Drosophila melanogaster: one gene and its partners. The protein of the gene in region 2 purifies or fractionates together with the protein of the main gene of each other region. This does not show direct contact. Each region holds a gene or a part of one and is shown on either strand. Other genes may lie near its edges. The genes, in order: Lgr3, Ilp8, scb and drl.

Evidence for each region.
Region 1: the proteins of Ilp8 (region 2) and Lgr3 purify together in Drosophila melanogaster (affinity purification with western blotting, with the first as the bait; one study listed by BioGRID). This does not show direct contact.
Region 3: the proteins of Ilp8 (region 2) and scb purify together in Drosophila melanogaster (affinity purification with mass spectrometry, with the first as the bait; one study listed by BioGRID). This does not show direct contact.
Region 4: the proteins of Ilp8 (region 2) and drl purify together in Drosophila melanogaster (affinity purification with mass spectrometry, with the first as the bait; one study listed by BioGRID). This does not show direct contact.

The regions. Positions count from the first base shown.
Region 1 is NT_033777.3:25,663,343-25,669,460, forward strand, and holds the start of Lgr3 (Leucine-rich repeat-containing G protein-coupled receptor 3), read left to right. Parts: upstream 1-2,466; 5' UTR 2,467-2,647; intron 2,648-3,470; 5' UTR 3,471-3,812; coding exon 3,813-3,900; intron 3,901-5,850; coding exon 5,851-6,118. Other genes in the region: RASSF8 (Ras association domain family member 8), read left to right, coding at 1-528, 596-906, 968-1,313.
Region 2 is NT_037436.4:17,028,735-17,034,946, forward strand, and holds Ilp8 (Insulin-like peptide 8), read right to left. Parts: upstream 3,347-6,212; 5' UTR 3,164-3,346; coding exon 3,152-3,163; intron 2,174-3,151; coding exon 1,975-2,173; intron 1,551-1,974; coding exon 1,309-1,550; 3' UTR 1,078-1,308; downstream 1-1,077. Other genes in the region: CG7730 (uncharacterized protein), read left to right, coding at 32-183, 245-857.
Region 3 is NT_033778.4:15,246,278-15,252,846, reverse strand, and holds the start of scb (scab), read right to left. Parts: upstream 4,064-6,569; 5' UTR 3,552-4,063; coding exon 3,364-3,551; intron 198-3,363; exon of another isoform or gene 25-197; coding exon of another isoform or gene 1-24. UniProt on the Drosophila melanogaster protein: Integrin alpha-PS3/beta-PS is a receptor for laminin. Also binds to wb. Important during embryogenesis for the development of the trachea, dorsal vessel and salivary gland, as well as for dorsal closure. Required for short-term memory processes.
Region 4 is NT_033779.5:19,188,081-19,194,345, reverse strand, and holds the start of drl (derailed), read right to left. Parts: upstream 4,005-6,265; 5' UTR 3,618-4,004; coding exon 3,512-3,617; intron 1-3,511. Other genes in the region: pigeon, read right to left, coding at 4,761-4,900, 5,246-5,470, 5,541-5,755, 5,815-6,047, 6,104-6,265. UniProt on the Drosophila melanogaster protein: Probable coreceptor of Wnt proteins. Involved in neuronal pathway recognition and ventral muscle attachment site selection. Non-vital for development. May be part of a signal transduction cascade involved in learning and possibly memory.

The DNA of each region.
Region 1 (6,118 bases), on a different chromosome or scaffold from region 2:
ATGACCAGCACGGGTAGCAATCCACCCGCACCTACAAATGGCTACAATGACTTCTACAACAATAACAGCAGCAGTAATCAGCATATATACAGCCAGCTGAGCAAATCCAGCAATGAACTCCGACGCTCCAGTCCCAACGAAATGTACTACAACAATAATAACAATATTGTTAATAACAATAACAACTCACCGGAGCTGTACAAGCAAACGCCGACGATTTCCGCGAATGGAGCTCTAGTCCCACCACCATATCGTGACCCGCCACCCCCGAGAAACAGCCCCATGTGCCAGGGGCAGCGTTTGGCCAGCAGCAATGCGGACACCATGTCCAATGCCTCCTCCTCGACGAATCCGTTTCTCAGCGACTACGATCAGCATAGCAGCCACAACACTAATAGCATCAACAATAATAGCCAGGCCATGGAGGAGGGTGAGCCCATGTTCCAGACCACGCAGTATAACGATTTGCTGCAGCTCATCAAGTTTCAGCGGGAGAAGATCACAGCCCAGCAAATGGAATTGCAAAAGGTACAAATATTCAAGTTTCTAAATTGATTTGGAATGTTATTATTTTATTTTTGTTTTATCTGCTTAGTTCGATACGGAAATAGTTTATTTGGAGAGCAAAGAACGCGACCACGCCCACGAGTTGGATGCTATTTCGCGTGAGATTTCCAAGGCGGATCAAATCTTTCGGCAAGGAAGCGAACAGCTCCAGACTCTGCAGTATGTGGAAGAGGAAAACGAATTGGTCAAGCAGCAAGAGAAGACTTTGAAATCAGAAATAGCTCTACTGCGATCCAAGCTGGCCAATTGCGAAACAGAGCTGCTACAATGCAAGAACAAAATGCGCTTGCTGATGGATGACATTGAGCTGGAGCAGCAACATCAACAGCAGACCAATAGGTGAGTGCATAGCAATTTACTTGCTTTGTTTTAAGTTTTTCACACTTCTTGGTTGTTTCAGGCAAACTGTGGAGCGAGACTTCTTGATGGAAATGGAGCGCATTCAGAGTGAAATCGACCAGGCTCTGCACAACACTGACACTTCAAACAAAACTGCAGATAGTTTAAAGAAGGAACTACTCATGATCGAGCATGCCATCGCGGACAAGAAGCGGCAGGTGGAGCAGCTGGTCAACGAGATGAAGGAGGTGAATTTGCAGAGCCTGACTGTGACCACCACGGAGGAGATCAAGCATCTATTGGAAGGACCCAACAAGCAGGGCAGCAGCCGGCGGATCATCGGTTCGCCCAGGCAACTTGAAACGGCGGTTCCAACCAGTAAAAATCCTCATGGTGTGTGGGTTTAAGTCACACATACCCAGAACTATTTTTCTAAACGTATTTCTCCTCCAACAAAATAATGTTTTTGGGAACAAATTGATCAACATATCTTGAATGCATAATGGAGTTGAAACGAAATGGATTCCTTATGAATATCACAATTTTAAACAATATTCTAAAAATATTTACAATAATTAACGTGCTTGATTGTTGTTTTAGTATGTTTACATTCCAATCACACTCTATGGATCTCTCAATGCAATGATATATGTTACAAATTTGAAATCACAATCGTTTTATTACTCTACATTCCGCACTGTACTTTGTATTTAATAGTAGTTAATGAGTCCCATATTCACATGCCCTAATCTTAATTTTGTGTGCTATACTTTTGGTTAATTTTTGCTGCTAGTCTACGTGTTAACAAAAACCCTTTCCAATCTCTACAATTCGCCATTAGTTGTTAACTTGACAATGAATTTTAATTGTTGCAATAATTCGAGAGTATCGTAATTTAAAAACGCCTTTCTAACGAATAAGTAGTGCCCTTAGTGATTTGTCTCCTACAGAATTATTCATTGTAGAATTCACAATTCGAATTACACAAAACTTATTGTACTTAGCAATTAGCGCAGCTTTAAAAAAACAAATTAGCAATGCTTTGTTGAAAAGTTTAACTTTTAAAGTGCTTAGCCTTAGCCACCGGATATCGAAACAAAAGACCGAAGCATTAACAATTGCAAAGGTATCAAGCATTAGTACATACATAATTGCTAGCGTACAATTAAAAGACAACCCACAAGTCGCTTTGATGTATTATGTTTTTAATTAGCAATATTTAATATTTACACAAACTGATGATGATAGTGAACTACAAAACACCAACGGAAATGCAATTTATCGAATATTATATATTACTATTACATTTAAACTAAAAACGATTTAGAACAAATTGTAATTGCATTACATCTAATTAGCTAATAAATACATTTTTATGATTTTCTCGAAACGAACTGTCTGTATTTACATTTGGTTTTGGTCTTTTGAAACACCACGAATTTTCCGCAAATGAAATCAACGGTCAGCCCGAAGTCCTGTGCCACACGAAGCTAGCTGCTCGGCCGCTTTTCTTGTGCGGAGGGAAAAACAAAATCAGCAACACATGCTGCCACCAGCTTCAGTTGGCCGCTGTGCTCGAACGCGTTTGGTCCTTTTGTCCTTGTCGATATCCTTCGCTCGCGACTCAGACTTCCTGGCGAAGCGCGCGCTACTTTCAATTTTCAAAAAGTGTCGCCCAGTGAACGGGTCAGTGAAAGTGGCCCGTAGGAAATAAAGAGGCAAAGGAGCATACATTTGAATGGTCCGTTTTTGGGGGCATCCTATCGCATTGACACAATCGACAAAGTGGTCGAGGGAGAGCGTTAAAGTGGCCCGCCAGCAAAAAGGACGAAGGAGCGCTCCGTTTTTATGGCCCTCTTCCACACCAAATGATGTTCAATTGCGATGATTGCGATAATGAGAGTCCCAGTTTCTCTGTTTTGGGGATCATGCATCGCCGAGACAATGTGACCTTTTGCGGAAATTATGATTTGTCTCCGGCTGACCTTGAGCCCCCCCGCTGGGCGATGTAACCCCCCCCCCCCCTTGCCGCCGACTCAATTAAGCTAAATTTAATCAGCCGGACAAGAAATGCTTCGGAAAAGGACCCTCTAATGCCGGTCACATATTGCACTTCCATTTCGTAGTACATTTGGCAAACCTATAACCTTGAGTTTGGCTTAATGTCTTGCATAAATTGGGGAACCAAGTGGCTGCTTAAAAATAGAACCATTCCGACTGGAGCCAACTAAAATTATTCATTTCGATTTGCTAGACTCAGCGGGGCGAACAAGTATAGCCAATCTTTATGACTTCCTTTTAACTTATATCTTGGTTTTTTCTTGCATCACAAATTTTAGTTATTATAGCAGCTTTCAGACGCGTGAAATAATACTTTTAATAAATTTATATCCCCAATAACTTTAAGCCGTCTGTGAAACTTAAGCCCGACGTCTGTCAAAATGGCGCTTTATGCATATATTTTTTATGGACACCAAATCAATTTTATCCAGCGCTGAAATCGAAACCCCACCAAGTGGAAAGCACTTGCCATCCGAAATATTAATTTTGAACTCCCGCTCCAGCTCCCAATCCTCCTTCCGCTTCATCAGCTGTGTAATCCTGGCACTTAAAACTCTTCTCCGCGAGCTGTGAACATTAGCCAAATGAAGTGACAAGAAATTAACGCAAAAATAAAACAAGAAGACGGAGCGGTATAAGAAATAATAATATAAAAACTCAATGAGTCAGCACCGCATCAGCTCCTGCTGCTGTTGTTCTTCTTATTGCTGTTGTTTGTGGGGGCGTGGCCGGAGTGGGAATTGAGTGCTCCTAATGATGAACTCGGTCAAGGAGCCAGTGCAGCCATGGTGGCCAAGTAATTAGATAAGCGAGCGTGCAAAACAGGAGCAAACCGATAAATCGCCATGGTCTACGGCAGGAGCATCGCCGTAGGCTTCTGTCTGATGACCGTCGTCCTTCTGCTGGCCGCCGTGATATTCTACTTGAGTTTGGGTGAGTCCTTAGAGTGATGTCCTTTCAAAATTCCATCATTCGCAAACCTAAATAATTTCTGAATCAAGAATGTTCAAAATCTTAGCAATTATTATACGCATAATTTGTGAAACTACTTAAAGTTCTTTTAAAACTTGAGCTGCTGTAAATTTCTATATATACTTTCGTATCCTTAAAGGGTTCCTTCGCTTGAAGCAAAAACCAAAATCAAATTCCAAACTGCAAAATGGCCATAAATTTTATACTCAAAAGTATTTGAAAGTAATTTGTTGTATAATACGATAAAAATAAGGCAACAAGAAACAAAAAACGGGGCGCAAAAAACAACAAACGGCTGACCATAAAAAAATAAATACGAGTACGGCGCAAACTTTGTCTTGAGCGCAAAACAATTTTCGCACATCCATCGATGGATCCATGGAAGTATGGGTATAAATATATATTTCTGGGCCTTTGGTCCTGAATGTTTTGCTTCCTCGTTCGAGGCTTTTATCTTGTTTTACGAGTATCAATATCGAGAAATTCGCACAGCTATATTTTTTATGCCAATTTGCGTATTGATTTGCCATGCCACATCTATGGAATATGGGCGAAACATGTTTGATTTATGCCCTTTTGTCGCCTCGGATTCCGAGTACATGCATCACGACAAATTATTTATCTGCCAGATACAATTTGTCCTGGCTTAGGTTTAAATCAGCCACGGAGCAGGAAGTTTAAAGAGGAAAGAGCCAGGATTTGTGTGTGAACATGTGGCCTTGTCATGGACACAATGAAATTGAAAGTCTCGCCTAATGCACAATGCTTTTGTGTGTGAATCAGTGCTTCCTAATGAAGTTACACATACAAATATGTATGTATGTATGTGAAAAAGGATATGAGGAAATAAATTTGTGCAGCTTGATGTGAATCATATGGCTATTATCTTGAACGAAATGCATTTTGGCTTAAAGCTTAACGAATGAAAGATTAATTTCAATTCACTTTAAATGCAGATATCAAATCGAATGCACTATAGCTTATGTCTAATTAAAAGCATTCACATTGAAATATCTTTATTTACACAGTGCCATGGCAATCGTGCAAAAGGGTAAAGTTATTATGAGATAAATGAGCCAGCAACCCAAAGAACATGTTTCTGACGCAATCCGTGCAATCGGATTAAAAGCTCCTCAAGGTGCTCCACTTCCAGTTTTATTTGCTCATTTGTCTAACGAACTATGTTCCATAATCTAGTAATTTGAATTGCTCAATTTTCGGAAGGACTCTCAACGCATGGTACCCAAACAAATCGTAAAAATGATAAAATGCAAAACAAGAATGTCATTTCGTTTTACGACAATTACCCAAAAAAAAAAGTTGTAGGCATTCAGGCAGAAAAAGTCTCGGTATAAATTAAGGCCAAGAGTAAGAAAATTCAATTGTTAAAACTTAGCTCAACTTTTGAAGTGAAATTAGCTGCAATAGCACATTAATTTATTTAAGCCAATCATTTCGATGTCCATGTACTTGATTTAAACGCTCGAAAAAGCATATTGCTAACAAAGCAAACCTCTCAAAAATCAATGTCAACTTTGCACATTAAGTTTAATTGCCATGTGTTGACAAAAATGCTAACAATAAACTGATATAAGTTTTTGGGTGGAGGTTATGACAATTAAGTTGTCAATTGTAGCTTAAAGTTTTCTTGTCAGAGATTAAAGTAATTACTCATACGCAGTGTGGGCTAGGAAATTATAAAAGGTACAAACAAAAGATATTAAAATGTTTCAAAGACACAAATGTTTGCTTGATGGCTAACAGCTCTAGGAAATATATATTTTGGTTAAAATCATCACTAGATTTTGTTTTGATTTCCCCCAAAATGCTGTTGAGAAACTAGTTGAACTCACATGCAATATGCTCCGCTGTCCTTGAGTGATAATTAATTTGGGATCGTCCTTTTCCCAGGACCCTGCCCCGCGGCCAGCTTCGCCTGCGACAACGGCACGCTGTGCGTTCCAAGGCGCCAGATGTGCGACAGTCGGAACGATTGCGCCGACAGCAGCGACGAGAATCCGGTGGAGTGCGGTCTCCTCTACGGCAGCAAGGAGATTGCCGACAAGATTGTCCGTAATGCGATTGAAAAGAAGCAACAGCGCCTAATCTCCGCCGTTTCAAATGCGAGCGGTGCGGATTCAACGACGTCGATGGTGCCAAGGAATCAGAGCCTAACTTT
Region 2 (6,212 bases):
TAATTTTATAACTTCGTTTCGACCTCCTCAGAAACATGGAGATGACCAAGCCATAAACAGCTTGGACATGCTGAAGATGGCCTCGCACCTTGTGATATTCACTCATTCCATCAACAATATGCGCATCGCTTCCAAGGCTACCAACGGGTCTTCCTTGAGGCGAGCACTTCGAAATCAATCCAGGCAAGTCAATACCTCCTGGCAGTCACATATATAGTATTCTTCATCATTTTTGTATCAACAGAAAAATCTTTGATCGAATCTCCCAGGAAACAGTTAAGCTGCACAATGAATCTGGTCAATTTGATATTGTGAGAACCCTCAACGAAATCCCTTTTAAGGAGGTACTCCTCAGTCTTCACAATATGAACTCACACCTAAGTCAGGGACTTACAGTGGCCACCACTTTATTGCCCCAAATACTGAGTTACGGCATTGGCGGGCAGATGGTGATCAATATGGACATGCTCGCACAGAAGTTCGGCGGAAAATTCGTTGAGCATATCGGCAATCTGGCTAGCTTTACGGACGTTTTGGAGGCCATGGCCAGATACTTCAGCGATCAGGCTGTACAGCTTCTAATGCAGATGACCCGCACATTCGTAGAGGAGAACGTGGATTACATTGATCGCTCGCTGAATACGTTCGTATCAACTGAAGCGGTCCTCTATCGCATTCTAATGCATTGCGTTAAAACCTTTGATGACTTCGGCGAAGATTTCCTTCAGAGACAACGTGAGGATATTTTGATGGTGGTATCCAAGTACTTTCGATCACTGGAGCCAGTTGGCGAACAAAACTGCCGCAAGTACAAATGCAACGTTTGCAAAGGCGCCTACTATATTAGTTCCATATAAGCTGATTCCATGGTTCGAGCTGTCGGTTTATTAAGTGATTTAGTGATTAATAGATTGTGATACAACAAAGATTTGTTAGCCATCGTGACTCATTTGTACTAGGATTGTAATAATCTTTTAAGCCTTTATATGCGTCTTCTAAACCTAATATGCTGTTAAATTCTCTGAATGTTTGTTTAGTTTTAACTGTCCACCAATTTTTATAAAAAACACTTTAATTCCGATCAGTTGCCGTATTCGATTGTTTATTCAAAATCGATCTAAGTGTATAAATACTGTAAATGGATCTGTGTCCCTGGGAGTGGGCACAAATAAGGTACTCTATAAGAGTGAGCGCGACTTGTAGAATGTACATGAATAGCCTAACTATAACTATGGACGGATTCAGAAGATTCTGACCAGATGGCACCGACTTGGAGCGTGGGGCATGGAGCATGACACTGGAGCTCTCTTAGCAGAAGAACTCCTCCTCGCACTGGTTTAGACAGCAGTAGGGAATGTTGTTGTAGGACCTGCTCGAGTGATCCCTCTTGAAGCGATGCTTCTTTTCGTGGTGCGGCTTGATGGGCTTGTAGCGCGGAAAGATGTCCAGTTCGCTGAGGCGATTGAAGTGCTCCCGGGTCACCTTCAGGTAGCCACCCATTGGATAGCTGCTTCGGCTGATGTAGTGATGCTTGTTGTGCGTTTTGCCGGCTGAAAAGGGGGAAAACGTTGCCAGTGAGCAAATTGATCTTGAACCTGCGCCTTGAAGTCGGTTAACTTTTGCATCGGAACTGCTTTATGCAAATGCCGTATTAATTGCAATCTACACACTTAAAAAAAAACGTGTTTTCGATATGCAGTTCCGAATGCAATTGTCGGGTTGACTGACACTCTGACCTTATTAGCTCGCTAATCCAATATTTTAATCTTTTCCTTATCGATGTTCAGTGGATATTGTTTAATTGAGATTTTAAAACGTAAGTATTATAGTTGGAAACAAAATTTAAAAATGGTAAAGTCATAACGAAGCATTATAATAATTTGATCTTTAAATTTATCCGAAATATTTTTAAACATTTTTTTTCCTAGTGCCACACTATGCTCTAAAATCTAAGATCTAGATCTAGATACTTACATCCAAGTCGATTCAGATGGTGGTGCGCGAACTCGATGGACCTTCTGTCGCGGCGGGCACCCTCGTCCGCCTGAAAGAGGTGCTCGCACGCCTCCATCGCGAACTTCTTCATCCGCTCCAGGGAGCAGAAGCTGCCCGACGAGCTGCCCATCAGGCAACAGACTCCGATGACCAGCAGCATCCAGCGGCACATATGCAACTGCAATGGAGGAGCGGGCGAAACAACAAGTGAGTATGAGTATATTCCAAATTAAACACCCAACCGGCCTCCGGCTCCTAATTATAAATCGCTGACGTTCAGAATTTATCGCATAAGTGTTACAACGATCCTCTAACCGGCTGCACTCTGCCCTGCTTTGGCATTTCAATGTGAATCTGGATCGCCGCTCTGGACACATCTGGATTAACCACTTCGGATGACGACAGCCGGGTGTCGGGATGCCGGGATGTCTGGATGACGTCGCCGACTCCCACGCACCGGAGTATGCCGCCCATTAACTGGGTCAATATCGCATCAAGATCGAAACATAAACTGGAGCGCATTTGCAAGTCGACGCGGCCAAATGGTGAATTTTAATTGCCGCTTTTAATGACCGAAACTTCCCCGACATTACGGCGATCTGGAGCTGAAGTGGAAATTATGTAATGCGCCCCGCAGGTAGGCATTTCCGCATTTTGCATTTCGCATTTCGTATATCGCACCTTGCGGTGACACTCCAGTCTGTTTAGCACTCCAGTCCGCCATATGAATCCGATTCGGAATCGATGCGGGCATTATGCTCTTGCCCGCGGAGAACAAAAGCGCATTTGTTTATATTGGATATTGATATTTTTAGCTGACAGCCTGTTAATTGCACACACCCACTTTTTTTGTGGCGCGAAGCTAATTTAAGTAATTAAAGTGGAGTGTTCTTAGAAGACAGTTATTTGTTTGGAAAATTTCTGGACTCAATTTGGAAAAGTCCACCTTGTACTGGAAATGTTTAAGTTCAGTACAATGATTTCAAGGAATGCATAATTTGGTGTATGAAATCATTCTGAGAACTGAATGTTTGATGTTTAATGCTTTGGTGCTGAGCAACTAACCAACTATAATGCTAAAGAGCTACACGAATTAGTTATGCTAGTGTAATAGTTAAAAAACAAAAATAAGAGTTTAACTTCAACTCGAACTCACCTTTGAACTCATTTTAGTGGCGTTCTAGGATCACAATTCTCAATAGATCAATAGATCAGTAGGCACGTCGATCACCTTTCTGGCTGCAACACTACGTATACGTGTTTTCTTTTGGCGGGCAAACTTGCTGCAGAGCTAACTTGCTGAATGGTTAACCCGTCCGTCCGATCGACGTTACCTGATAATCACGAGCGGCGAGCGCACAATGAGCTTTCGTTGCCGACGTAGCCAAGCTTTTATACGCGCCTCAAAAATCGAGGATCGGCGCTTCGGATCGGCTCAGTTTGCCGCTCAGACAGCCGCTCTTCACTTTTCAATGGGAATGGGCGATGGGGGTGAGAGAGAGAGAGAGAGAGAGAGCAGATTTCGGGATTTGTAATTCTTCGGTTTCGGTTTCGGGTATGGAGTATGGGGTATGGGTTATGGGGTTCGGTCTCGGCTTTTTGGGGATCGGGATCCGCTCGCAGGAGTTTTGCGTAAGCGGCAGGGCGCGCCGAGCATTCAGAAATATACATTTTTTTTTATCAATGGGCCTCGGAACGGACGTCAGACCAGAAGAGTTGGCATTTATAGTTTCATGGCGCCGCCGTTTCGATCTTAAACGAATTTCAACATAAATGGACTCGGCGGACTCACTGAGTCACAGTCACATGCTGCTGGACTTGCTGCTGCTCTTGATAAAGCCGAGGCGAATACTGTTAGCTGGAACAGTCTAAAAACACTCTTATCAGCGCACCTTGGCAATGTAATAAGGTAGTAATAGCTACTGGTGATTTGACGGCCGATGGTGGCAGTGAAAGTGAAAACTTGGACCTTGTTGCCGGGGCTTTTCCAACCAGGGCAACGCACTTCTTGATAGCCGTGCATGCTTCTCTAATATGATTGCTTATTTATGTGGATCCATAAACAAGTTGAACAGACCCATAAAACCATTCAAATATTGTGTGTAGAATTTGAAGAACTGTAAAATTGAAATTGTTGACTGGCGTTTCCCATTGAAAGTCGAGAAAAACAACAGTGATTAGCTTTAATGCGGTAATCATTTGTTAAATCATACTTTGTACCAGACTCACTCATCATTTAGCATGCTAAAAAATGATCCAAATGCCTTTACCATCTTTTTCAGTGGCAAAGTACTACTGTTTACTATAAGTAAAGAGTCTAGAATGACAGGTTCGTTGAGCAATGGAAAGCTAAGACATTTGAAAGCTTAAGAAATTTTTGCATTGAATAATATTCCAATGGACCTCATGGTGTTTTATTCAACCTGAAATTAAATGATAACATAACATTCTTAAAAAACTGGTTGCAGAAACCAATAAACAGTAAAGTTTAATGTTCATATAGGGGGCATTTCGTTCAAAGTCTAAAAAAATGAATTCATTAAAAAAAAAAAATTGTATTATGTTGTGAATAAAAAATGGAAGGCCAGCGAAATTGTTGTTAAACATTCAGATTTATATAGAAATAATATATAAAGTTACCGCACATTTGCTGATGTACTATGTATTGTATTTCCAAAGGTTTCTATCTCTACGATTGCTGCTTTTCGTATGATAGCAGGGTTCTGTGAAAAAGCGAAAGTGTAGAACTTTCACTGTCGTTTCTGTTCGGCTCTGCCTCTGTCTCTTTCGGTATCGGGCTCGCCCTCTCTTTCGCTCACCCTGTTGCAGCATCATTTGGGGTGGAGCACTTAACGGTTGTTCTGGATCGGGCGTCATCATCGTGCGTTCTTATTTTATCAGATCGTTTGTGTTACGTTCTTTTTCGGATATTTTTAGCCGCTCTCTCGGTCAATGCACACTTTCGGCCGACTTTTTATGGGTTCAGATTGTTACGTTTCTGATTCCGATTCCGATTCGGTTCGGATTTGGTTTCGGTTTCGTTTCCACATTCGTTTTGGTTATGCTGTTTTCTTTTTTTTTGCCACTTGCTTTTCGCTTTCGTTGCATTCCCGCATGCGGAAATGTTAGCCGGCCCTCGTGGCGTATGCGCAATGCTGCTGCGCAGTTGCATTTTCTCCCGCATTTCGCACGTATCCTTCGGAATGTGCATTCTCGCGCTCGTCGATCCGATCGGCAACGCATAACGGTAACGGGCACGTTCTGGGAACACCGACTTGGGTTCGGAATGTGTGCGCTGGCCGTTGTGGTTCGGTGGAACTCTTGCTGGTATGCGGCATTAATTGGTTCGCCACGGGCACTCTCATTCATAAATACAATTTCACAACCTGATCTAAAGAATCGCGCCACTTGCGCCATGTCAACGATCTCCGTCGAATGCCCCTACCTGGGCATCAAATTCACGACTCATTATCAAAGAAAAAAAAAACAAAAAAAATTGGGCAGAAAGAAAAGAAAAAAAAAACAGCCGAAATACAACAGAACCCAACGGAGTATGAACCGCAAACAGGTTCTGCTTCTAATAGAATCGCCGGTCCATCGACGATCTGATATTCGTGCAGTCTAGACGAGCATTGGTACACATATCTGGTGGGTCCTTTCCTTGGCAACAAGAAAAGAGCTGGGAATGTCGCTCCGTCTTCTGGGAAGATCGCATCGGACCATGGGCGGATGGACAAGGGACACTGGCAGGACCGCTGGCAGAGCGTGTGAGCTAGTGTTTTTGTTTTGATGCCCGAGATGTGTTCCTTGAACTGAGGGCGAAAGTGGTGCGTCACGTCATCTCCGGTGTCTGACTTTGCCGGCGGCTTTGTCGTTCACCTTTGCCATCCCAATCACCATCCCCATCCTTCCCTATCCTCATCATCTTCCGCAGCCAATTCTTTCGGCCTGCCGGAGGGTTATTCTTTTGCCCTGGGTTCAAAAAACTCTGCGATTGCCTTGCTGGGATCGCATTTCAAATTAGAAACTCTTATTTCGGGGGTTCCGAATAGCACATGGCCAAAAAATACTCTTTTGTCTTGGCAGGGTTTTAATCTTATGTCTTTGAATTTAAACATATAAAGAGCTATTATTTCTTTAAATTTTCATAGATATTTAAGGTCTGACTTTAGAAAACGTAAATTATAGAATACAATGCAAATGAAACGAAAAGTCGT
Region 3 (6,569 bases), on a different chromosome or scaffold from region 2:
GAAATCACGATCTTGCCCCACCATTTCGGCAGTTTTGCAGACCGCGATTATTCAACAGATTAATGCTACGCCACGCGTTCGTCGCCTGAACTATCTGCACTACGATGTATTATCACTTTCGCTTTAAGCGATGCCGAAATCCGCCGCCGGATATAGATTGCTGCCGTTCCGATCGAAGGTCTGTTAGCTACTAACCAAGCGCACTACTCCCCAGAGACCTCACCGCTCGGCGGTGATAGCGAGAGAGAAAACGGGTTACGGTTATGCTCATTCCTCGACATTTGCTATCTCAAAAGGTGCGAGAGAGCGCCGCTCTGTTTTGACCAGGCTTACTCGCGGTACCGTTGGGGCTCTCGTGGGAGTGGCGTGAATAACATCTTCAAAACGATTGCCATACCATATTTGCGCTTTTTATAAAATTGTTTGTTTTCTTAAGCAGCAAAAGCTGACTAATAGGACAAGATGGAGCGGAAAATGTAAGATAAGTCTTAACTGTAAAAGAATTTATTTTTCCAGCTCTAACACTGCAACCTTTGCACTTTTTAAATTTAACTGATTTCATTTTTTATCGAAACTTCGAATAATAATTCAAACCAAGGAAACTAACTTACTGCATTTTTTTATGAAAACGCCAGTAAGATTGCACATATAATGTGAAGCAAACAATCGTTTTTAATCAGCTGCATTGACTGACTCATTTCAAACCCACTTCACAGGATATGAGGTTCAATTTGAGATTAGACAGTTCAAAAAATGTATTGATTTCTTTGTTAAAACAGTCAGTAAAAGTAAACTATGGATGACACCTTTGTTATTGGCAAAATACGAATACATAATACATTTCATAATTCTCTAGCCTTAGTTTCACCTCGATTGACTTTTTGATTTACTTATCTATACAAGTTTTCCCCCGTTCGAGTCGGTGGCTTAGTCAGTCGGATGAGTCACCATGCATGCACTTATTTCCCGGCCTGATTTCAGGCGTAACTTTATCCGCATCTCGGCGCGAGTCAAATGGTTGGAGCTTAATTGCATGCGAGAAAAAAAAAACGACAGTCTCAAAAAAAGAGTCAACATATTTAAATAGGCGAATAACAAGCACATGCCACTTTGGCTACCTGATCCAGAAATTGTTTATGCTGAATATAAAGTGGTGTGAGGCCTAAAAACAGTCAGCCAACATTTGTTTTGGACTGAACGTTCGGCGTATCTCAGCTGTAATACAAAGTATGGGTTGTCGCTTACGTATTTTCCCAAAACATGAGTCATGGCCAAGTAAACCATGTCTGCACACGCATCTGCCCCCAAGCCCCAACTTTTTCCATGGCCTTTGTGCATAACTACAGCGGTGGTCAATTCAGTGTGAGCAGAAATTAAACAGAAACTTAATAAATTGTATTACAACTGTTAACTTAATTTATTTTAGGAAGATTTGAATGACTTTTTGAAGAACTATATTTTTTTCACCATCTGTTTCACAAAACAGTCACCTTACAATTATAACCTATTAGTTATTAAAAAAATAAACTAACTTAAAGTATTTTAAAATATATTGCAACTTTATATATCTTTGCAAATTGTCTTCTAAAAAATAGTTGTATGGCATACAACAGCATGCTAACATAATTGAAATGTGAAATTTCTTTTAAATAGTATAATTTCGTTTGTAAAAGTACGCTTTTGGTGCGATGGCGCTTTGTTTAAATGCCGAACAAGGAACGTTTATCCGTTTTTGTGCGCGGACAATAAAACATCTTGCGGACCACACAAATCTCCAGCGCCATCTCCATCAGCCAAACAAAAACAAAGAACCGCTGCAGCGTGCGGTCATCAAATGTTAAGAACAAAAGCCACCATGCTGCACCGTTTTCCGTTGTGGAGTCTTCAGTGTTTTTTTTTTGTTTTTGTTATAAGGAATTCGGTTTAATGACCCAGCGTAAGACGGCTAAAAATATTTGTGTGTGGTGTCAGCTGAACGGACGAACTCTTCGGAGGGCGGGGATGCGGATGGGGGCAGGTCTGCAGACGCCATCGCCTCCAAATCGGATTGGAAACATTTGTGACTCATTTCGCCAGAATGCAAGTGGTGTTGGGAAACTGTGAGTGGATGCACTTCCCCCGCATTGGATTCGAATTCAGCCCTAATTTCATTGGGAGACCGTAAACAAGAACTACACTTTTTGTTTGTTTCAGCTAACTTCAATTGATGTGATATAAATTACGGCTTGTCGTGATTTTACGCGCAATTTCCGTACATAATTAGGCGCACTTCGTAATAGCCAAGAGTCATGGGTATTTTGGGATCCAAAGTGCTGGTAATACAAAAAAATGTAGGGGGGGGGGGAAGAGCGGGAACTGTAGAGGAAGTTCCAAATTACCCATCCAGGTTTATGGAAATAAAATATGGTCAAAAGCTAGCTCGTTATGATCGCGTACGAGTACTGCATTCAAACCAGGTTTACTGATCGCCTCAATTAAAACCAGATAAGGTTGTACTGACCAAGTAGTTCTTGTATCTAAGCTGTGGCCTGAATTTTGGCAAATACATAACCTCAACTACTCTAACATAAATTACAAAGCATGAACTATCATCTCTCTTTTTCGTTTAAGAGAGAATACAGAGTAGATATCTCGAGAATATCTTAAAAAGCGTATCTGAGCTTCGATCTGACCACTTTCTTCTTATTCAATTAACTGTGATTTGTGGCGCCGACTGAGGTGTGTGATGTCATTTTTTGGGGCCCGCAAACCAACAAAAGTAGCCGCCATATGATATGTAGGTCGCCCGACTCACTGAAAATTGTTCGGGTTTGTCAATTGTTCGAGACGGAGTTGCGATCTCTCGGATCTGTGGCAATTGTAGTTGAAGTAGACAGTTTCTTTTTTTTTTTGTTATTTTTAGAAAATTCGGTCTGAAGTGGTATTGCTTTCGAGAGGTTTTCAAGCTGGGGTTTTCGACATGCCATGAGAGTTCTGTCCCAAAACTCGAACAACCTATGCTGAGCACCCATTTACGACTTGGCGAAAATGACATTTTAATTTCTTGGCAAATAGAGCGACCGAGTGTTAAGTGCCAATAAACCACCCAAGCCGATACTAATTTTGTCGAGCCTCGACTTCTGTCGATCCCCTTTCGCAAGCTTCAGTTTCCATTTCCGTATGCCAGAAGTTTCAAAATATTGACAGAGGTGTGTTGGCTTGCAACTGAAAGCACTCGCTTGTCTTGCGTCAAACATAAGAAATATGTTGATCGGTTATCGAAATAAGTATGTTTTCGAAGTATGGAAGAATCTCCCTCCAGACCCTTACACGTATGTATGCAAATATTTGCCGCGATCTACAGCTGGAAAATAGGTAACTCACCTGGTCTGGCGGATGACAAGCGTGTATCCAAAGTAGGAGCTGCGAGTCTGGTTTATGTGGAACTTCAGATGCTTCGGGGAGTTTATCACCCGACTGGGTCGCGGCATAAAATTGAATGCTTCGATGTGAGAGATCAGAGCCAAGAGGGCGAGGAATATGTGAGGGAACATTGTCGATTCAGCATTCATTGGAACTCATCAAAATTAAGTTTTCGCATTCGTAATTTCGTAATTTTGGTAATTTCACTTGAATGGACCCCGGCTCTTCTGAGGGCAATAAATCACAATTGCGCCAGAGAGCCACACCACTGAAACAGGATCCGTTGGCACTCACTTATTTATGATTTATTGAATTTAATTGAAGCACTCACACACTCGAGATCGCTGCTGTATGGCGGCGGCGTTCTCTCGAAATTATATTAATTTAATTAAGCCCAGCCGGCGGCTTTCGCAAATCTCTCGCGAGATCTAGGTGGCAAACTTGTTTTGGCTCTTGTCACTTTTGCCGGCGACAAGTCGTTGTTAATCGCACTACTCGACCGCGCCGTATCTCTGCACTGATGTGTAGCTAATAGCTAATAAATAGCATATAGCATATAGCCTATAGCATATATGGTGTTTTATTTCCGCAACGCTAGTCCATAAACGGGGCAACAGATCAGTGCTGGACGTTTTCACTCTTCGACGACCCGAACCGAAATGAAATGAATTCAAGTGCTGCAGCAGACTTGGACGACCGTCGATTCTGCTGGCCGATGTGTCCACCCAACACGATGGTCGAAAGAGATGTTCTGACCTGCTGTAGTGTGTGTTTACAAACATGGTTGCGCTGAGATTTCTGATGATCATTGATAATAACAATAAAACTTTAAGGTTTTCAAATATATTTTTTTAGTATCTAATATATTGTTATAAGAACTATCTATATATAGTCTATTAGTGCTTTATATTTTATACCTACACTTGATTTTGTTTAACAATACTATGGTATATCTAGTACCGGTTTTTGTCAGTGCATTCTCAATTCGATTGCGACCATTTGTGGTGGTGGCTCTCCTTGTTCGCACGCTACTTGCATTTACACTCCCCCTACGCGTTTGCTGCACCCTCGCACACACACAAACGAACGCACACACACAAATAAACGCACACCCAAGTGCGAGAGTACAAGTAAGTGGGTAAAAAAGCAAACGCCTGTCACCATGGAGTTCCAACTGGGAGCCGTATTTTCTTATTAATACTCATTGAAGGAATCCCGACTTTATATATATGGAAACAGGCCAGCTTATTTGTTCCTCATCATCTGGTAGATTTGGTTATAATTAATATTTACAATGTTTTAAGGCTCATCAAGATCTGCACACTGAGAGAAAGGAAATTGTTTTTATGGAAATGTACTTGTTAGTTCGTAGTTATTGCACTTATTCCTAATTTATTTCTTATGTATTATACTTAAAAGATAAGTAATGTTTATTCTTTATTTAGTTCTACTTTTAAATAATCTACATTCGTATTTTAAAATATTTTCTCCGAGTGATTCCTTTTCGGGATGTGGATGAGTGCCAGTGGAAACGGAGAGCATATGGCGGACATAAAGGATGCCGATCACGATTCCCAGGCAAATGGCCACCCGAATTGAACGGCGTACTGCTGTCATTGAACTTGGCTGCCGTGGCATGGTGATCAAATGGCTTATCAGCGGGCCCCAGGGCAAATATTTATTGTAAGTATAAAGTAGTATATGCCCCTCGTGCTGCCTTATCCGTTCAACGTTTATCATTGGGGTAGGTTGGGTGGTGGTGACCACAATTTATTAACTTTACGATCCGGTGACATGAAATTGTGCCCAGCACGGGGGGTTCAGTGGTTCAGGGGTTCAATTAGATCGACAGGGGTGTACTCTAGTTGACTTTTCCTCCAGCTATCGGTTGCCTCAAGCTGATAAGTTGGAAAACCGCGCTTAGATCGCTGGCTGTTTGTGCGCCCAGTAATTGATTTTCATTTTCAACGCAGCCTGAGCCCGCCGTTTATCAAGTCAATGTAAAACAATAAAAACTAATAAAACAAAAGTGGGGTCTGAGGTCTGGCAAGTCGTTTCCACCGATAAGCGAAACTACAACAGCCGATTACGCGCCATAAAACTCAATTCACAAGTCGAATGCTCCCAATACGATTCATAAATAAAATTCTCTTTAAAAGTTCGAAAGTTGAATGTTTGCCAGCGATTCATTCGGGTAAACAAAAGAAGTTCAAAAGGGCGGCTAATTCGGTTTTCCAACGCCGCATAGCAAGTGTTTTTTTGGACCAGGCCGCTATTGAAATGCGCAATTAAGCGCCCGCCAGGCGATTTGACAGCAATTATGTGTTACTGCACGCCAGCAGCAACAACAGCGATTGCTGCAACAGCAGCAGCAACACGGCCGCAACTGCAGAAGGGGGAGGTGCCACGCCACACTGCCAGGCACATAATTGAAGTTCATGACCCCCCATCCTCCGCTATCGGGGGCAGCTATTTCTGGCGCACATCCCAGTCTCCAGATGCAACCAGTAGCGGCAACAAAAGCACGAAACAGGGTGCAAATTGAAATGTTCCGGAGCTACGATGTGCATCAAATGGGGGAGCTGCCCTTGAAATGGATCCGTATAGAACTCCCAGTTGCAATCTGTCGTTACACTTGGCGGAAGTTTGTGACTATTGTTAGCGGCGGACACTTATCAGCGAGTTGTGTATATAATGGTTGAATCGGAGTCACAAGTCAGCAACAACAGCGGTGCCGGTGCAAACTGCACTAAAAAAAAAGTGTTGGTTCATACTCAAAGTATAGCTAGTCATAATTTGAGTTTTTGTTATTCTAAAAATTCTGTATTGCACCTATTATATTATATGTCGATTTCTTAAGTGGTAAAATGTCCAGTTTTTCTCTAAGTGCTAATGGATATTTATCGAATCGTCGACGTGAGCTTGAGGCGCAAAGCGGCGCCTTATTTGGACTTTCTGGGCAGGCATAAATGTCAAAAGGAAGTGTAAAAAAAAACTAAACACGTCCGTGAATCAATGCAGGTGTTCACCTTCCTATGACGTCACCAATTTATATACATATATAATGGTAGAGGGGTTTGTTTGAGCTCAGTAAAAATATTATTTCCAGGCAGAGGCAGAGAATGAACTTATTGCACATTAGTGGCTATGGAAATAGATCCTTCGAG
Region 4 (6,265 bases), on a different chromosome or scaffold from region 2:
CGTATCATTAGCACAGAAAGTACAAGACATTTCTAAGTATACCATAATCAATTCGATATTTAATTACTATTTTGCTATATTTGTTCATATTCAAATATATTTTTATATCCTTTTTCCTATATGATTTATATAATTTCGAATGAAAGCATAAAATTCCTCCCGACCAGCGAAAAGTTGCACATACTGTTGGCACAGAAGTTGCTGCAGTTGCTGCTGTTGCATCGATTGATGTTGCTGTTGCTGCAGCATCTGATGTCGTCGTCCTTGTCACTGTTGCATCGACATTTCTGCCGCCTGTCTCTGTCCGCGTTGTTCATTTGCCAATTACGCGTTTAACTCTGCATGAAGCCAGACATAACAACCTGGCAACTGAATGGATCGCTACACGCAGCGAAAATTCCAAAAGTAGCAAAAGAGTATCAAAAACTCTCTAGATAAAAGTATCATTGTGTACTCGTTGCACTCAAGAGTGATTTTAAATCACAAACATAATAAGTAAGTACAAGTGTAATTGATGTACTGAGTAAATGTTTTTCGCCGTGTAGACAGGAGACAGGTGGCAGGGGCAACCGCTTGTTTGTGTTGGCGTGGCAAGTTGGCAACACATGCCGCACGCTCGGGCAGATCTAATGCCTTCGCTTCCAACTGCAGCATTAATTATTCCGAGGGTGAAATATTTTTGGCCACGCACGCCAGAGATTTCACTACAACTTCTGGGCCAAATCCTGGGATGCAGATGATGGCGATGATGCTGCTGCGCCCTAATTGAGTTCACATTACTTGCCGAAATATGTTGCGTTTGGGGGCAAATGCTCTTGCTTTTATTAGCCAAACGTGAGTTGGCAACAATCGCCATTGTTCGCCGGCAAATCATGTTCATTTCGAGATGATGAATCCTTCGACCCGCGCCAGTTGAAAGTGTCAAACCATTTAGAGAGTTGGGATGGGGTTGAGATTAGCAAGTGTTGATAGACAGACCCGAAACGTGACTGGCAACATCCATGGGTTACATGGATTAGGGAGGGATCTGCTCAGACAGCTGGCAGGGCTACAAAGTTGGGCAAAGTTAAAAGCCCCATTGAGCCAAGTGTGTGGCGGGGGAAAAGTTTTCCGAATGTTATAGGATGTTATAGGTTCTGGCTATATGAATTTAATTGCTTTCCTTGCCATTAACAGTGGGGTGCCACAAAGCCTGGGAGATCAGTGTCCTAAGATGGAATAATGGTAGTTCCCTTTAGATAACGTGTTACCCTTGACTATCCACACCCAACGCCGACAACTTTGGTCACTCATTGCAACCGCAAAATCCATCAACTGCACCGACTTTACATATCCGCTCATTTCGCTAACGAGCTGGGCCACAGAGCCACCGAACCAAGAAGACCCTCGCCACCGCCGCCCGGCTTGATCCACACCTGACATGGTTTGCATAGCATAGAGCACAGCAATTTGGGGCGCACTTCTGGATGGAGAAGTGGGTGGGCCATGGGATGGAACATGTGTGCTATGGGTATGTGTTCGGGTATGGATGTTAGCCTAACGAACAGTGAATGCCATGCCGCAGCTGCATGCAAGTGCATGGAGCTCTTCTTTGGGCGATTCTCCTTCACTCTGCTCCTGGGTTGACAATTTAATTGATGTGCACTCACACAAAGGCTTTTGAAGCGACCGCTAAAAAAATAAAGTGAAATAAAATAAAATAGAGTGACACCTAGCCAGGCGTTGCGAACACACACACAGTGAAGTCTCGGAAAGTAGGTCAGGCATGCAACCCGCTGTCAGCGCTGAATAATTGGAGAGGGTATCGCCACCCAATCCCGAAAGCCCAAAACCAAAAACCAAAAACCCTCTGGGGAAAGTGCAATTGGAGGAGTCGGGAATCGGGCGAAAAATGAATAGCGGCCACCGCTTAATGGGTTTTAATGCTGATTTCGTTTGACACTCGGCTGACACAACTAATAAATTTTCCGCTGCCATGTCAAGTGGAAAGCCTCAACTGGCCATCCATCCCATAGCAAACCATCCCACCCACTTGCCGTATCGCCTTTGATTGATTGTCTGCTGGCGCTTTCAACTGATTGCGAGGTGTGTAGTGGAGCAGCCAGGACTCGGGGGCCAGAACTGCAATCAAACATGAATTACGACGAGTGGCAGACGCTGATAAGCGGCTAGATAAGCGCCTGATTAGCAGCCCGGCACTGCAGTTCAAATATTTACCCAGTTATTCACAAGTGACGCGATGCAATCTGCGTACCTACATACTCCGCACTCCGCACTCCGAAACTCCTGACGCCCATCAATCAGCCGGAGGCACAAACACGCGAGTGTTGTAAATTTTACAACATAATTTTTGATAATTTTTCCCTATCAGCTATACAGCTCCCTGCGCCCCCGATCCACAGAACACACTGCCTACAAAACAAACACTTTGCATGTGTTTTATGATGCCACATGGATGTGGCACAACTTGGGCCGCTTCACCCTTTCCTTTTGGCCCATGGATTGAGGCTACTGATTTATTTTTTATATTCACTGGGTTGTAAATTCTTTGTCTGGGCCCTGTGACACATTGTAAAACAATTTTCCCCACTTTTATTAGCTTGGCAATCTCTTCGACAGGATTTGTGTGTGTTTCTTTCTGGCGGGGAATGGCTTGGGTCCAAGAAGACGAGGTTGGGGATGGGGATCGGGGCGAGGTATAAATATAAAAGTAGATTAAAGGTACTTGGGCTGCGGACTCGAGCTATCCCAAGCCGATTTGCTTGGCCAAGTGGAAACCTGGTTATTAGATGGAGATAAACAAATCTGTTTTGATAAGGGCTAAGAATCAGTCACTCGGATTTTTAAGCTTATTAGAGTAGTATTCTTCTATGGAAAATAGTTAGGCTAAATAAATAATATAAACTAAACTAAACTAAATATTTAAATACTCATTTTGGTGTCATTTTTTGACTACATGATTTTACTATTTATTTTCTTTTGAAGACGTTTATAAAATATATCTAAAATTGTTTTGTATTGTTTTAAATTGGATAAACTATGAAAAAATATGATTTTTTAAATAAAAACTTTGATTATAGAGGGATTACTTATCTAGAGATGAATCCACTTGCCAATCGAATTTAATTTAACGCAAAGAAATACAAATTTAAATCGCTTTAGCATTTCTATTTATCTAGATAAGTCTAACGAACAATTAAATCAAAGAAACAGGAAATCATGCTAGACAAATAGAATGTTTTCTTGTTTCTCGGTGAGCTGGCCAATTGAAGGAGGGACAATACTACTTTATATGTAGCTCCGAGGCTAGAAACAATTAAAAGGCATATATTATTTACGCAAAAAGAGTAAATAATCCCAGCAAGTCGCATTCGTTTGCCCAGGAGACAAAATCCCGGCTTGGCATAAATCAAATTTGATTTAAAGTCGAACGAACGCACACAAAGTGGCAAATAATTGCCCAGTTAATTGAAAAGCCAAAAGGCAGGCGAAAATCAACACGATTACTTACCGATTAGGCGCAGCACCTCGTGCAAGTTGAGGAAAATATTGAGATGGGCCTGACCGCTGGCGATCAGGGTCAAAAGTAATCCGATTGTTAGCAAGTTGGGGGCCATCTTTCGGATTCGATTAATCCGCCGGTTGTTTAGTCGCAATAAGAGGAAGAGATAGTTTTAACTGCAGTTCGGCTACTCTGCCGATTTTCTATTTCCCGTTTGGCACTCGCTAAAACGATTTAATTTCCGCTGCACTGCTGTTCACTTTTTGCGCTGCATTTGCAATTTTACGAGCGTCGCGTTGATTTCAATCGCGCTGATTATTACAGGAATTATTTGTCAGAGCATTTGGCACTTTGCCTTCTGGCCGGGAAAACTCAGGCGCACATATTTCCCAATCAGTCTCTGTCTCTGCACCCGTTTTTCCTCGCTTTTCTCGCCGTTCGTCCGCGTTCGTTTTCCGCGTTTGATCCGCTCACCGTGACGATTTTCCACAAACTGTCAACTGGATAAACAAACACTTCGCCACGAAGCGAATGGCTTCCACGCCGAGCGGAGTGGAGTGTGGACTGTGGACTGTGTGTGGCGCTCGTGGACTTGTTCTGTAGAACTTGAAGGCTGGAACCCGTATAACAGTCGTGTTGGAACCTCGAACTCGGTTGCAGTTCGAACATCTCATCGAACATCTCCAATTGGCTAAATACCAAAACTGGCATACTGTTCGATATCCTTTATTAAATTAACTAAACAAACATTCATATAAAGTTTAAAAAATAGACCCACAAACTTCCCAAATGAATTCGAATTAATGATGTAATATAATGATTTTAACCTTTTAACTTTTTTTTATTGTGTTTGATTCAATTTCGAATTAAACTCATGTTGCCAAAAATAAACATTACGACATTTTATACTTTATAAATCGTTAGTTTATTACAGAAAGAGAGACAGAAGCTTGCAGAAGCATAAAATAAATAAGTACAGAATATATAAATACGTACATGATTTTAGGTACATCAATTAACAACATAAATAATTTATAATTACAGACTTGGAATGTGTATCAGTCGTTACACAAATAATAGGAACAGAAAATTAATACTAAAAGCACACAGAAGAACCCTAACAAAAATCAAAGCTGCACGAGAAGAATCTTAACTAATACATTTGACAAATCAAATCTTTGGAATATTTGCAAACTGGCCTTGGCTAAGTACTTGATAATTTGACACAATACTTCATTAGTTACTCTTAACATTAAATTCAAGCCTCCAGTTTCAGCTGATCGATGGAGCTTAGAGTAGTTTCAATAAGCAGATTGTAGTCCAATTCGTTTAGACTGGCCTTCGCAGTCAGCAGGTCCAGAAAGGAGTCCAGTGGCGAAAGGGCTTCGGCAGTTAGATCTGCAAGAATACCAACCAAATTGGTCATTAGAGAGGTGGCTATGGTTAAGTTAGATAACAAGAAACAAAATGTGCAAATGGGACAACGACTGGCGAACACTGAACAGCGTTTCTTACCGGTCAGCGATGGGAATGTTTTCTACCAGATGAGAGGGCGCTGCCTGAACGCATAGCTCGATATGCTCAGGACGACCGTGGTTAGAATGAAAAGCAGAAAAACCAAAAGCAGCGAGTGACAAACAACAGTGTTGGGCTTGCCCAAAGCTGGACGAGATGTGTTCGGGTGAAGAGTGTACAAATGAAAAGTTAACGTGTTTATGGCGGGCTAACCAAGCAAGATCTTACCGCTCCGCGCATTATTTCGCGATTGATTCACGCAGGCCGTGGGTCGCTGCTGGTGCAACACCTCCTGCTGCTGACCCGACAGAATGTTGGCCGCATGCTCGCGTCCGCGGATCATAAGGCTGTCCGGATGCTGCCAGCATTTGAGTAACCTTTGAGCACGCTGCTTGGGCAGAGCAGACAAAAGTGATAGCTTCCGCTCAATGCCCAGTGGAGAATCTTCAATATCTGAAGGAATACATTAAGCAATAATGAAATGAACAGTATATGAAAACAAGTATATATATTTGTTACAAACCGAAAACAATGGCCTTCATCACATCCACTTGCAGTTCGAACACATGATTTTCCACATACTGCAGAAACATATCATAGCCCAGCGCACGATAGCCCAAGTAGGTGAAGAACGAGGAGAAACCCTCGGGCAGGGGAAACGCAATCGATTCCACAGCCAGGCAATAGCGCTCGAGGATTAGAAACAGAGAGTGCTGTTGATTGGCAGCCATTTGGTCACTGCAATCATTACAGACGTGAGTGAAAAGTGATCACATTTGAAATCATCACCAACTCACATCAACTGAAAACCCCTCGAGGTCTCCATGCGCGCATCTAGGCCTGCAGCACGACAAACCAGAGAGCAAAGAGCCCGCGAGAGTTCAAGCTGCGCGGAAACGAACTGGGAGGCCACCGCATGCACATGAGCTGGAGCCTGGGAGCGCTCGAAAAAGGTCTCCTTCAGCCAGCGGAAGCCAGTGTTGGGCTTTGACGTGTGCTTCACCAGGTGAACGCTCAGCTCGCGCAGATACTGTAAATTTCGTAGCTTTAATAAAAATGTTACCTCAAGATTACGCAGCAACTCACCACAGAAATGACGTGCTCCTGCTTGCTGGCTGTGCATCCCTCCAGTTCGATAAAGGGCAGCACTTCGTTGCTGAATGGAAAAGCACTTCCGCTACTATAGTCACCAAATCCACCGGTGCCCGTGTCTGGCGAAAGTGGCGTGGTGCATCTGGACAGAGCCTC